Linked DNA regions of Xenopus tropicalis. The protein of the gene in region 3 interacts with the protein of the main gene of each other region in a pairwise test. Links are inferred from orthologs where the notes say so. Each region holds a gene or a part of one and is shown on either strand. Other genes may lie near its edges. The genes, in order: usp20, hoxb5 and trim23.

What was found.
Region 1: the proteins of trim23 (region 3) and usp20 interact in binary tests that used the Homo sapiens proteins (3 or more experiments, as listed by UniProt). The link is inferred for Xenopus tropicalis from reciprocal best matches to the Homo sapiens genes TRIM23 and USP20.
Region 2: the proteins of trim23 (region 3) and hoxb5 interact in binary tests that used the Homo sapiens proteins (3 or more experiments, as listed by UniProt). The two-hybrid records come from large-scale screens. The link is inferred for Xenopus tropicalis from reciprocal best matches to the Homo sapiens genes TRIM23 and HOXB5.

Annotation. Positions count from the first base shown.
Region 1 is NC_030684.2:22,435,570-22,439,327, reverse strand, and holds the start of usp20 (ubiquitin carboxyl-terminal hydrolase 20), read right to left. Parts: upstream 2,347-3,758; 5' UTR 2,331-2,346; coding exon 2,208-2,330; intron 1-2,207. Other genes in the region: uncharacterized protein C9orf78 homolog, read left to right, coding at 2,401-2,486.
Region 2 is NC_030686.2:12,061,384-12,064,776, reverse strand, and holds hoxb5 (homeobox protein Hox-B5), read left to right. Parts: upstream 1-838; 5' UTR 839-883; coding exon 884-1,412; intron 1,413-2,005; coding exon 2,006-2,253; 3' UTR 2,254-2,845; downstream 2,846-3,393. UniProt on the Homo sapiens protein: Sequence-specific transcription factor which is part of a developmental regulatory system that provides cells with specific positional identities on the anterior-posterior axis.
Region 3 is NC_030677.2:187,786,970-187,790,727, reverse strand, and holds the start of trim23 (E3 ubiquitin-protein ligase TRIM23), read right to left. Parts: upstream 2,410-3,758; 5' UTR 1,944-2,409; coding exon 1,854-1,943; intron 426-1,853; coding exon 263-425; intron 1-262. Other genes in the region: trappc13 (trafficking protein particle complex subunit 13), read left to right, coding at 2,498-2,543.

The DNA.
Region 1 (3,758 bases), on a different chromosome or scaffold from region 3:
GGACCCCTGCTTTATGTGATGAAAAGGCCGCAGTTTGGTTGGCTTGGGAGGGAGAGGAGAGGCCTGGGCAGCAGACTGTAAGCACAGCAGTTAGACCTGAATGAGGATAATAGGGTCACATGACCACTTGTGAGAGCCTCAGCCATTCGCGGTACAAGGCCGCAATCATGATGCCATTATATCAGAGGATGGCATACATCAGCAACTGGTTACCCGTAGATACCAAGCACAATGCCAGCTGCTCACAGAAATCTCAATTTAATTGCAAAAAATAGTCAGCAATTTATACACAGCATGAGTCACTTTCCCTTCAGCTTCATCCATATATGGTTCCGCTGATCCGGCATTATCTACATTTGAGCCTGTATGTCAGCTGACACCATTCTTTTTATACAATATATATATTATATACACACCTGTGGCCCACTTGTGCAGGATATACAACAATCACTATCATATGTTCTATATATACTACCAACTGCCTACCTAGTACAAATACCAGCCTTTCTGCTTTATTATATACTATCCAGTGCCCTTCTCTGTAAATACCAGCTTGTCCCCTTCTCTGTGCATACACCAGAATCTGCCCAAATCCTATGTATATACCAGGCCATGCCCATCACTGTTTTTGTGTATATTCCAGCTTGTGCCACTGTCTTTGTCTCTACCGTTTCCTTCTCTGTGTATATACCAGCCTGTGCCCCTGAGAATATATAAACCTGCTCCCCTCTCCTCTCTATGTGTAACCTTGTGCCTACCTCCTCTCTGTGTATATACACCAGTCTGCCTCTCTTCTCTGTGCCCCTCTCTTGTGTATTTATCGGCATGTACCATCCTCTGTGCATACACCAGGTTGTGCCCACCTCCTCTCAGTGTAAATACCAGGCCATTCCCATCACAATTTTGTCTATATTTTAATTTGTGACACTCTCAGTCTGTCTCTAGCGTTTCCTTCTCTGAGTGTATAACAGCCTGTGCCCCTGGGAGTATATCAAGCTGCTTCCCTCTTCTCTCTACATAAATCCAAGCTAGTGCCTAATTTCTTCTCTGTGCCCAGCACCTCACTGTGTATATACAGCAGTCTGCCCCCTTCTCTGTGCCTAGCACCTCTCTGTGTATATACACCAGTCTGCCCCCTACGCTGTGCCCAGCGCCTCTCTGTGTATATACACCAGTCTGCCCTTTCTCTGTGCCCAGCACCTCTCTGTGTATATACACCAGTCTGTCCCCTTCTCTGTGTATATACACCAGTCTGCCCCCTTCTCTGTGCCCAGCGCTTCTCTGTGTATATACACCAGTCTGTCCCCTTCTCTGTGCCCAGCGCTTCTCTGTGTATATACACCAGTCTGCCCATATATATATATATATATATATATATATATATATATATATATATATATATATATATATATATATATATATATATATATATATATATATATATACCAAATCAAACACAACCAGCACCAAGGGTCTTGTGGTTCAAACAAATATTATAGTATTATAATTGCATGTACAACTGACGTTTCGGTCCCTTTTGGGACCTTTAAAAAGGTATATATATATATATATATATATATATATATATACAGTCCAGAGTGGGAGGCACACCATAAAATGAGAGTAAACCTAGGTGCCAGAGCTATAAAATCTGTAGATAGGTAAAGAATGTCGGCACTCTTAGGATTTCCACAATAAGGCAAAAAAGTAAAGTTTTTTTTCAAATGCAAGCGGTGAGATTTATTGTTTCCAACGTTTCAGTCCTTTACTAGGACTTTCGTCAGGGAGTGCAGGAAGGCAAAGACATTGCACTCCCTGACGAAAGTCCTAGTAAAGGACTGAAACGTTGGAAACAATAAATCTCACCGCTTGCATTTGAAAAAAAACTTTACTTTTTTGCCTTATTGTGGAAATCCTAAGAGTGCCGACATTCTTTACCTATATATATATATTTATATTGAGAGAGAGATACAAGTTGCTAGTAAGCTGCACACCATGAGAAGAAATAATACCTGGGGGTGCCAGAGAAGGTGTGTGTGTGTGTGTGTGTGTGTGTATATACATACACACACACACGCAAGGTTAATATGATGCACTGCCCCCAGGCCCCTGCCGCTACACTAAGCTAAACCCCTGCCTGTACAGACATTAATCCTCTAGTAGTTATGGAGCTTGTACATGGATACGGGGTGCAGGAGCAAACCTACCTCCCTATGCCATGCCAGCCTGATGCCAGATACCTCTGTTACCGCAGCTGTTGACTGCTGATTCCTAACTCCGCCCCACACTGCCAAGGCAAGGGCGGAGATCCGGAAGCTTCTCACTGGCATTATTACATCATTAGACCGCGCCGGAAGTTTACATATTCCGTAGTGTCCGGGTTCAGCAGCGGGGAGAAAGATGCCTGGGGGAAGAAACTTTCGGAGGCGTAAAGCCTCGTCGTCAGATGAAGAAGCGGAGGCTGAAGAAGTAACTCAGGAGGTTAGGTAGGTTCTCGTTATATTTCTGCGACTCAACAGTGAGGATACTCGAAGTTGTATTCGTGTGAAACGTTACCTCAGGCCTTTTTTTTATTCCAAGAACGCGTTACTATGGATACCAATTAGCCATAAACACATTGTTGGGAGGGCAGACTTGGGGGTCTGCTTTTTCTATAGGTGTAACTAACTAACCCCCTTCCCCATCACTGTTCTACCTGAGCGTTAGTGGGCAGAGATAGGGGAAGTGAGCAGTGTCGGGCTGGGACCCAGGGGCCCACCAGAAAACATTAGACCCTCGGCTCACTCTCCAAATTATTTTTTTCTCAACCAACCTCTGCTAGTCTCTTTTATTTACATGCCAATATCTATTCTTCCATCTATTTCTCTTCTTTGTTTTCATTCAGCAATAGGGTATGACCGTGAAGTAGGCCAAATGGTAGGAGCAGGAGGGCTCACTGACACCTGTGCCCACCAGGAGTTTCCTGGTAGGCCAGTCCGACACTGGAAGGGAGGGGCAGGGTGTTGGTTTGTGAGGGGAGGGTGGGTAATGCCCTCTGGGGGGCCCTGCGTGGTCTGGTAAGTCAATACAGGGTACAAGAATGTGTTTACTTAACAAGCACATGTGGGCCGAGGAATGCGCGCACACACACACACACACACACACCATATGTAGATTCAGCACTCCTAAGCGTGGTCAAAAGACCCATGTGCTACCAATTAAGCATTAAAAATAAAAAATCTAGTGAATATTGGTGCACACCGGGAATCATTTAAAAAAGTAGCCTTTATTGTAGTAAAAAAAAAAAAAAATAAAAAATATATATATATATATATATATATATTTTATTATATATTATTCTCTTATTAATACCCTGTTTGTATTAATGTATTCTACTGTACAGCACTGCGTACATAAGTAGCGCTTTATAAATAAAGATATATATATATATATATATATATATACATATACATATACATATACATATACATATATATATATATATACATATACATATACATATACATATACATATATATATATATAGAAACAACAACAAGAGATCCTCTGCACTCACCCATTATCAATATATAGGACATTAAGACATTCAGTGCATTTAAGCTACTAAGAAATGCCCTTCCCTTTAAGCAAAACAGGGATTGTTTGTCCATATATTGCAATATACTTCAAGCTGGCCAACTGGGTCAAAGTCATCCCTTTTGACCAGTTCCTACACTGACTTATGCGATTCATTAAGAATTCTACTGCTTCAATATACA
Region 2 (3,393 bases), on a different chromosome or scaffold from region 3:
GATATACACCCATATACATATATATATACATATATAGATAAATAAAGTCAGAAATGGAAATGCAAGAGTTTCCAGAAATCCCTGATCGTAATGGACACTGGCAATTTCATTCGATTCAATTAGTTTTTACCGGACAGATTTATTTTAGCTCAGTCCTTTGACATATTCTTTTGTTTTATATTACAACGTGCCTTCATAGCTACAAATCCTAGTCTTTTTGAACTCGCCCTAAAATATATTAGAATGAAAGAAATACAAGGCAGGGTTTAAAACAGACCGGAGTTCTTTTATTTTGCCCATAGCAATATTTTATTTTATGACGATTTAAGGGGACGCTAAAATAACGGTAACATGGAGCAGGCAGAGAACAACTATGGGTAAAGGAATAAATCGCTTACATGGTTTTGCTTTTACTTATTATTTGGGTGTTCTTTTAATACAAAAGCGACAATGTATAAATACACAGACAGTTTGAGTTCGGGGCTAAAGAGAAGCTAAAGAATATTTTCCTGGGTGTGTGATTTAGAGCTGCAGTTCCCCGAATTTCCGGTAGGTGTCGCGGTCTGCCAACATGGAGAGAACAGTTTTCCCCAGGATCATTTTTTTTTTTTGGAAGCTGTACATTGACTTGGGCCTAACGATTCTCAGATCGTCATTATTTGTAACCATAGAGCATGGATTACCTCTTGAGGTCATCAGTGAGAATTTACGACTGGTCAACAAAAGCACGTGATTTCCAAACGCACCCACACCCCCATATTTGGCCGCATACATAGCAAAAAGCAAGTACAGTGTATGGGGATAATTCATTAATACATCATAAATCGTGAGGCTCAGGGTGATCCACAAATCAAAGCCTCCCCCCCAAAAAAAAATCACCCAAATGAGTTCCTACTTTGTGAACTCGTTCTCAGGGCGCTATCCTAATGGCCCCGACTACCATGTGTTAAATTATGGGACTGGCAGCAGCAGCAATCTGAGCGGATCATACAGGGAGGCAGCAGGCAGCATGCAGCCCTCGGCTTATGGATATAACTACAATGGGATGGACCTGAGTGTGAGCCGGGCAGCAGCTTCCAGCAGCCACTATGGGGACAGCGCCTTCCCCGGGCAGGAGAGCAGGTTCAGGGCAAATCAGAGCTGCCCCCTGGCGACCCCCGACCCCCTGCCCTGTGCCAAAAGCCACAAAGACGAACTCTCCCCCACGGATCCTGCCACCTCCGCCGGCTCCAGCGCCCAATTCACAGAGGTAGAAGAAACCAGCGCCTCCTCGGAGACTGAGGAATCCAGCACCCCCCGGAGCAGCGCTCCCCCCCGGGCACTACAGGAGAACAGCTCCCCCGGAGCGGCCGGGACAGACGGACAGAACCCGCAGATCTTTCCCTGGATGAGAAAACTGCACATCAACCACGGTACCGCTGCTTTATTCCCCCCTTTCCCACTAAAGGTGCAGGGGGCTGAGAAAAACAAAGCTTTCCATAATACACCTTTACCCCCCCAAACACGATGCCAGGATTATTGGGTTGAACTCAGCCTAGTGATCAGACAGGCGAAATATAATATATATAATATACATTGTGGTACCAATGTTATGCCTACAGCTCTAGCTGCCTGATTTGTATAATATTATATATTAAATGTAAACCTTGGGAAAGTGATACGATATGAGATATTTTATTATCTGCTGATATTAAGTTTATGGGGCCTTTTATGTAGAACAGATAACAGGACAGTAAAATAGAATGTAACAGACAGGGTGTAATAGAGCAGCAGGGATGGGGTACAATGTATAGGGAGTCAGTAAAATAGAGTATATTATTCGGTGGATAAATGTTTTATATCAGTAACTGAATATAATGAGATAGAATTCGTTTTCATTAAGGGACATCATTAAGGAAGATATTGTCTTTCTAAAGAGGGGCTTGTGAGGGGCAAGGAGCAGGCAGGGGTGCTATGATCTCTATAATAACCCCCCCCCCAAAACCTTATTGTCCCCCCCATACAGACATGACAGGTCCGGATGGGAAGCGGGCCAGGACTGCCTACACCCGGTACCAGACGCTGGAGCTGGAGAAAGAGTTCCATTTCAATCGGTACCTGACCCGGAGGAGGAGGATCGAGATCGCCCATGCCTTGTGCCTGTCCGAGCGGCAGATTAAAATCTGGTTCCAGAACAGGAGGATGAAATGGAAAAAGGACAACAAGCTAAAAAGCATGAGCCTTGCGACAGGCAGCAGCGCTTTCCAGCCCTGAGGGCACCGTTGGCCGGGACTCTCTGCCTTGGGCACCTACAGGGCACTTGTCGGCATGTAAAGGGCACAGGACTGCACCCAGTCTCCCATTTCTAGTCGTCTCCCAATGCTCCCAGTAACGTCCTGATTGTTTTGTGACTGTGACACGATGCTGCTTCCGGAGGGAGATCGCATGTTTTCAGAGCTCTTAAATGTTATTATAACTTATTTATAATAAAAAATAAAAGAATTTCAGTTTTTTTTTTATGTTTACTGTTTTTACAATTTTTCGTTGTTGTTGTTTTGCTGTTTCAGGCCAGTTAGGCGGATCGATGCACTAAAAGGCTCGTCTTTTCTATTGTAAAGTCTGTGGTATTGGTCATCATTAGCCCCCCCAGTTTAATAGTAGCCCCCCTGCAAGGTGGCTGATGTCCCCACTAGACTGTAACTCGGTGTTTTGCTTTTTTTATTTTATTTTATTTTTTTCAAGTGACCAATCTAAAGGAGTGAGTGACTTTGTAATGTGTTTAAAGGTACCTGTCCTGTCTGGCTGCCTGAAGATTCCATTCTCCATTTTTGTATGAGTAGTAATAATAAAATATTAAGCTATAAAACACACGACTTGGTGCCCTTGTATTCGATTGCATGTTTGGGAAATGATTATTTGTAGCAGTGCGACAGTTGCAAAGAGAAGGTATCAAATCATGCTTTGTAGTCTGAACTGGGGGGGGGGGGGGGTCTCACAATCACAACAACATTAATTACAATTAGGGCAAACGAATTAGAGAGAAAGTTTAGTGGGAAACTTACCCCAGAGCAGAGTGAAGCCAAGGCATCCCCGTCCCCTTTGGTGATTTGGGCAAAGTAAAGCCCAAGTAGGTATGACATTTCCATGTCAAATGGATTGGGTTTTATGTAGAAGTTCCATGGTACAAATGGCCCAGACCTCAGGCTCAGACCCCCTCACTGGCTCGCAAAAGTCACGTGTGCTCCATAAAGTTAGTTTTATGGTTTTAGGGAGTTGACAATGTACAATATATTTCACAATCTCCAGAATGTTAAGTGACAGTTTAACTGGCTTGTGAGGGGACCGGCAGTGAGAGAGAGAGCAGTTTAGCAGATGCGACTGGGGCAGCAGGCAGTGCACAATCGCAGCACAGGA
Region 3 (3,758 bases):
ACCCAGACTGGCAATCTGTGGATTCTGGCAAATGCCAGAGGGGCAGCTGCCTATTATAAATCCCAGTCTGGGCCTGTTTGAGAGCAGTGGGTCACCCAGTATCTATTTGTTGCAAGAGAGAGCAGCTAGTGCAGAGCAACTTGAAGCAAATGGGAAGCAATCTGCAGCAGGTAACAGCTATCAAAATCCTTGTGTTATAGAGACCTTAAATACATTACATAATACTATTGCTTAGTAAAGTAAAAAATGAATTCTTTAATACCTAGTTCAGTAGCTTGTCTGTCAAATGGACAGCGTATGGCTCTGCCATGAAGAGGCAGGCGTGTTAGACAGTCATGGCACACAGTATGGCCGCAAAGCAGCAAACGTGGAACTTTATCTCCTTGCAGTGAAAAGACATCTTCACAGACACCACATTCCAGAACCTAGTGTTGATTAAACAATTGTGGAAAGGTTACATTGTGGAGAGACATTTAAATATATCAGTCTGAAAGTTACGAGGATGCAACCATGTTGCTGGATGTATCATTTGCTTGCTAAAGATCAGGCTGGGGACCACTGCTCCTCCTGAACAGCCCAGGAAAGCTGCCTGTGGAAGTGGAAAGGCTGGGTGGTGCTAATAAGGTTTAAGATAAATTAAAGCAGCATTTTCTCTTAAAATGATACAGTGCTATGTATCCTTGCAGCAATATAAAAATAAAGTTATAAATACATACAATAGGCTTATTGCCTTTGCAGATGTGGGTATGGAATATCAATAGCTGCCATTGGGTATTATCCATATGCTTCCTACATCTAGCTGACTTTGCATGCTGGGAGTTGTAGTTCATTGGGAGTTAAAACGCATAGGAAAGTTGAAAGACAACCCTGTATAGGACATTTACACTTATCCATACAGCCAGGGCTGGAGTTAAAGGGGGGTGGGTAGCTTGCAATGCAGAAAGCCTGGAGTCTGATGAAGGGGATTAATATATGTATATATAATATATTAGGGATGTTTAACCTGCAGCCCTCCAGTTGTTGTTCTGCTAGAACTCTCAATAGCCCTACTAGCCAATGTATGGAGGTGCAGTACAACAAGAACAAAGAGCTCTAAGGCTGCCCATAGCTAATGTCAGTGGCATAACTAGAGGTGTCTGGGCCCCACAGCAAATTCATATTACCCCCCCCCCCCCCCCCTAAAGTTTAAGAGTTATTGTACATAAGTATATACTGGAATTGCTTATCACTCAGTGTCTGGGCCCCACAGCAAATTCATATTACCCCCCCCTAAAGTTTAAGAGTTATTGTACATAAGTATATACTGGAATTGCTTATCACTCAGTGTCTGGGCCCCGCAGCAAATTCATATTACCCCCCCCCCCCCTAAAGTTTAAGAGTTATTGTACATAAGTATATACTGGAATTGCTTATCACTCAGTGTCTGGGCCCCGCAGCAAATTCATATTACCCCCCCCCCCCCTAAAGTTTAAGAGTTATTGTACATAAGTATATACTGGAATTGCTTATCACTCAGTGTCTGGGCCCCGCAGCAAATTCATATTACCCCCCCCCCCCCTAAAGTTTAAGAGTTATTGTACATAAGTATATACTGGAATTGCTTATCACTCAGTGTCTGGGCCCCGCAGCTTCCTCTCTAGCACAATATAATAGGCCCTTTCTGCTTTGTTTCCCCCTAGGAGTATCCCATCTCCGAAACTGCCCTTTCCCCTAAAGCCTCCCTGCACTCTGCAACGAAATGATGTAGGAAGGAGAATGCATATAGCCAGACGCAGGGGGGCCCTCCTGCAGGGATAAACCAGGGCCCAAACTACACGGCATACACTTCTCCCGTAACCCTGCTCTAGTATCACCTTTACTGCTCCCCCCGGACCGGTCCGGCTCTGCCGTCCGCTGCCCTCCATTCTTCCAGGGCCGCCGTGTCTGTTTACAGCGACAGCCATGTTGACAGCTGGACCGTACCACTTCGGGTAGAGGGTTGAGAAATCATGTGAATCCTGGTGTTGAAAATGGCATTATTTAAGAATAAACCCTGTTTTAAAAAACAATGAATATATCTACTTAGGTTCATAACAGTAGCAATCTGAGAAGTCTAATCCGTATGACACCACCGACTGAGCAAAAGGCTTTTAAAACTATTACTAGCGAAACCGCAAAGTGGTTTCACCCAATAGCTATAACCCAACTCAGTCTCTTGCCTCAGAAAAATGGGAGCTAACGCTATAAGGCGCCATCTTAAACATTGGCAAACGTGCCCTCATATTTTTCCCCTGAAACAAAAACAAAATGATAGATAGCAGAGACGGCGATTCTGTGGTTCTGCAGCTTTTGTCGAAATAAAAGTTTTGCAGGGCTCTGTTGCAATGTGAATAATAGAACTGAGAAGCGGAAAAAGCCTCTGCGCATGCGCATTTTGTTTTACTAGAACTGGCCCTTTCGTCTTCCCGTACAGGCAGTTCCGGGTGTGTGTAGGGGTGGTGACGGCGGTTCTGGCACCATGGACGTCAATCAGCCCAAGCAGGAACATTTGTTGGCCCTGAAAGGTATCAGTGTGAGGCTGTGGTGTGTGTTCTCTGCGCCCTGACTGGGGAGTCAGCCCGGCCTGCCCCAAGCTGTAGCACAGGAGCCAGAGCTTTCCTGCACTGGCCATTCCCATAGGTGTCCTGGCCCACTCACTTCTGTTCCAGAGTACATAGACTATGCACCTAAGCAAGAGGCTGCCCTGCCTTGCCCTGTCATTTCTAGTTACTTCCATCCCTTGCCATTATGGTAGCCACATTGAGTGATCTTCTTAACCATTGATGCTACAGTAACCCCATGGCAGCGCAGTTAGTGCAAATGATTATTCTGCAAAGCAGCAGTTACTCAGATTGTCTGCCATAGCTGAGTGGCCCCCTCCTGCTTATGCTTGCGTTTGGAGCAGGTTGGGGGCCCATAGGACACAAAGAAAGTGCATGGAATTAACCAATTGGGCATGATCTCATTGGTGGGCTCCACAACGGTTACAATACATTTTTGTATGATTATCCTCAAGCAGGGGAACTAAAATACAATAATGCTGGAAATACAGAAAAACTCTGTGCTGACTAATAGACATGATAAATGATAGACATACCAACCTGTACCAACAGTGATGGGAAAGATAAACTGTAATCTCAACTAAACCAGGTTTTTATTAAGAATATATCATTAAGGAACATTTGTTCTAATTAAAAGTAAGTTAATAGCAAGGATGAGCTCATCCAGCTGACAAATATAAGGGTTCTACTATTTTTTGAGAGCAGCGTCATTCAAAAGTTACAGTAGATGTAATAAATAGCCCTGGTATCAGGTAGTAATTATTTAGGTCTTTTGGGGCTTTAAAACATTACACGGGGGCCAATTTATGCATATACGTGTAAGGGGTGCAACAAACAGCATTGTAAAGTGAACCTTGTGCAAGCAGAGCTGTGCAGCAAAACAAATTAATGGCACACACAATGCCAAATTAACTAACATTAATGGAACAGGCAGGTCAGTACAATGAAATATAATACAAAATACAGTTACATTCAGGATTAAGTGGTAGAGACGAGAGGAAAGAGATTTTCCCCATAGAATCTAGATAGGAGTTCTCTAATAATCAGACATTGATAGATGTAAAGCAAAACATTTTTTCCCATAAGTGCTTTAAGAAGATTTTTCTGATCAATTTAGTGGCTTGGAATATAAGCAATACAGTATGAAAATAATACGATAATTCTCTTTTGGTGCTGGCT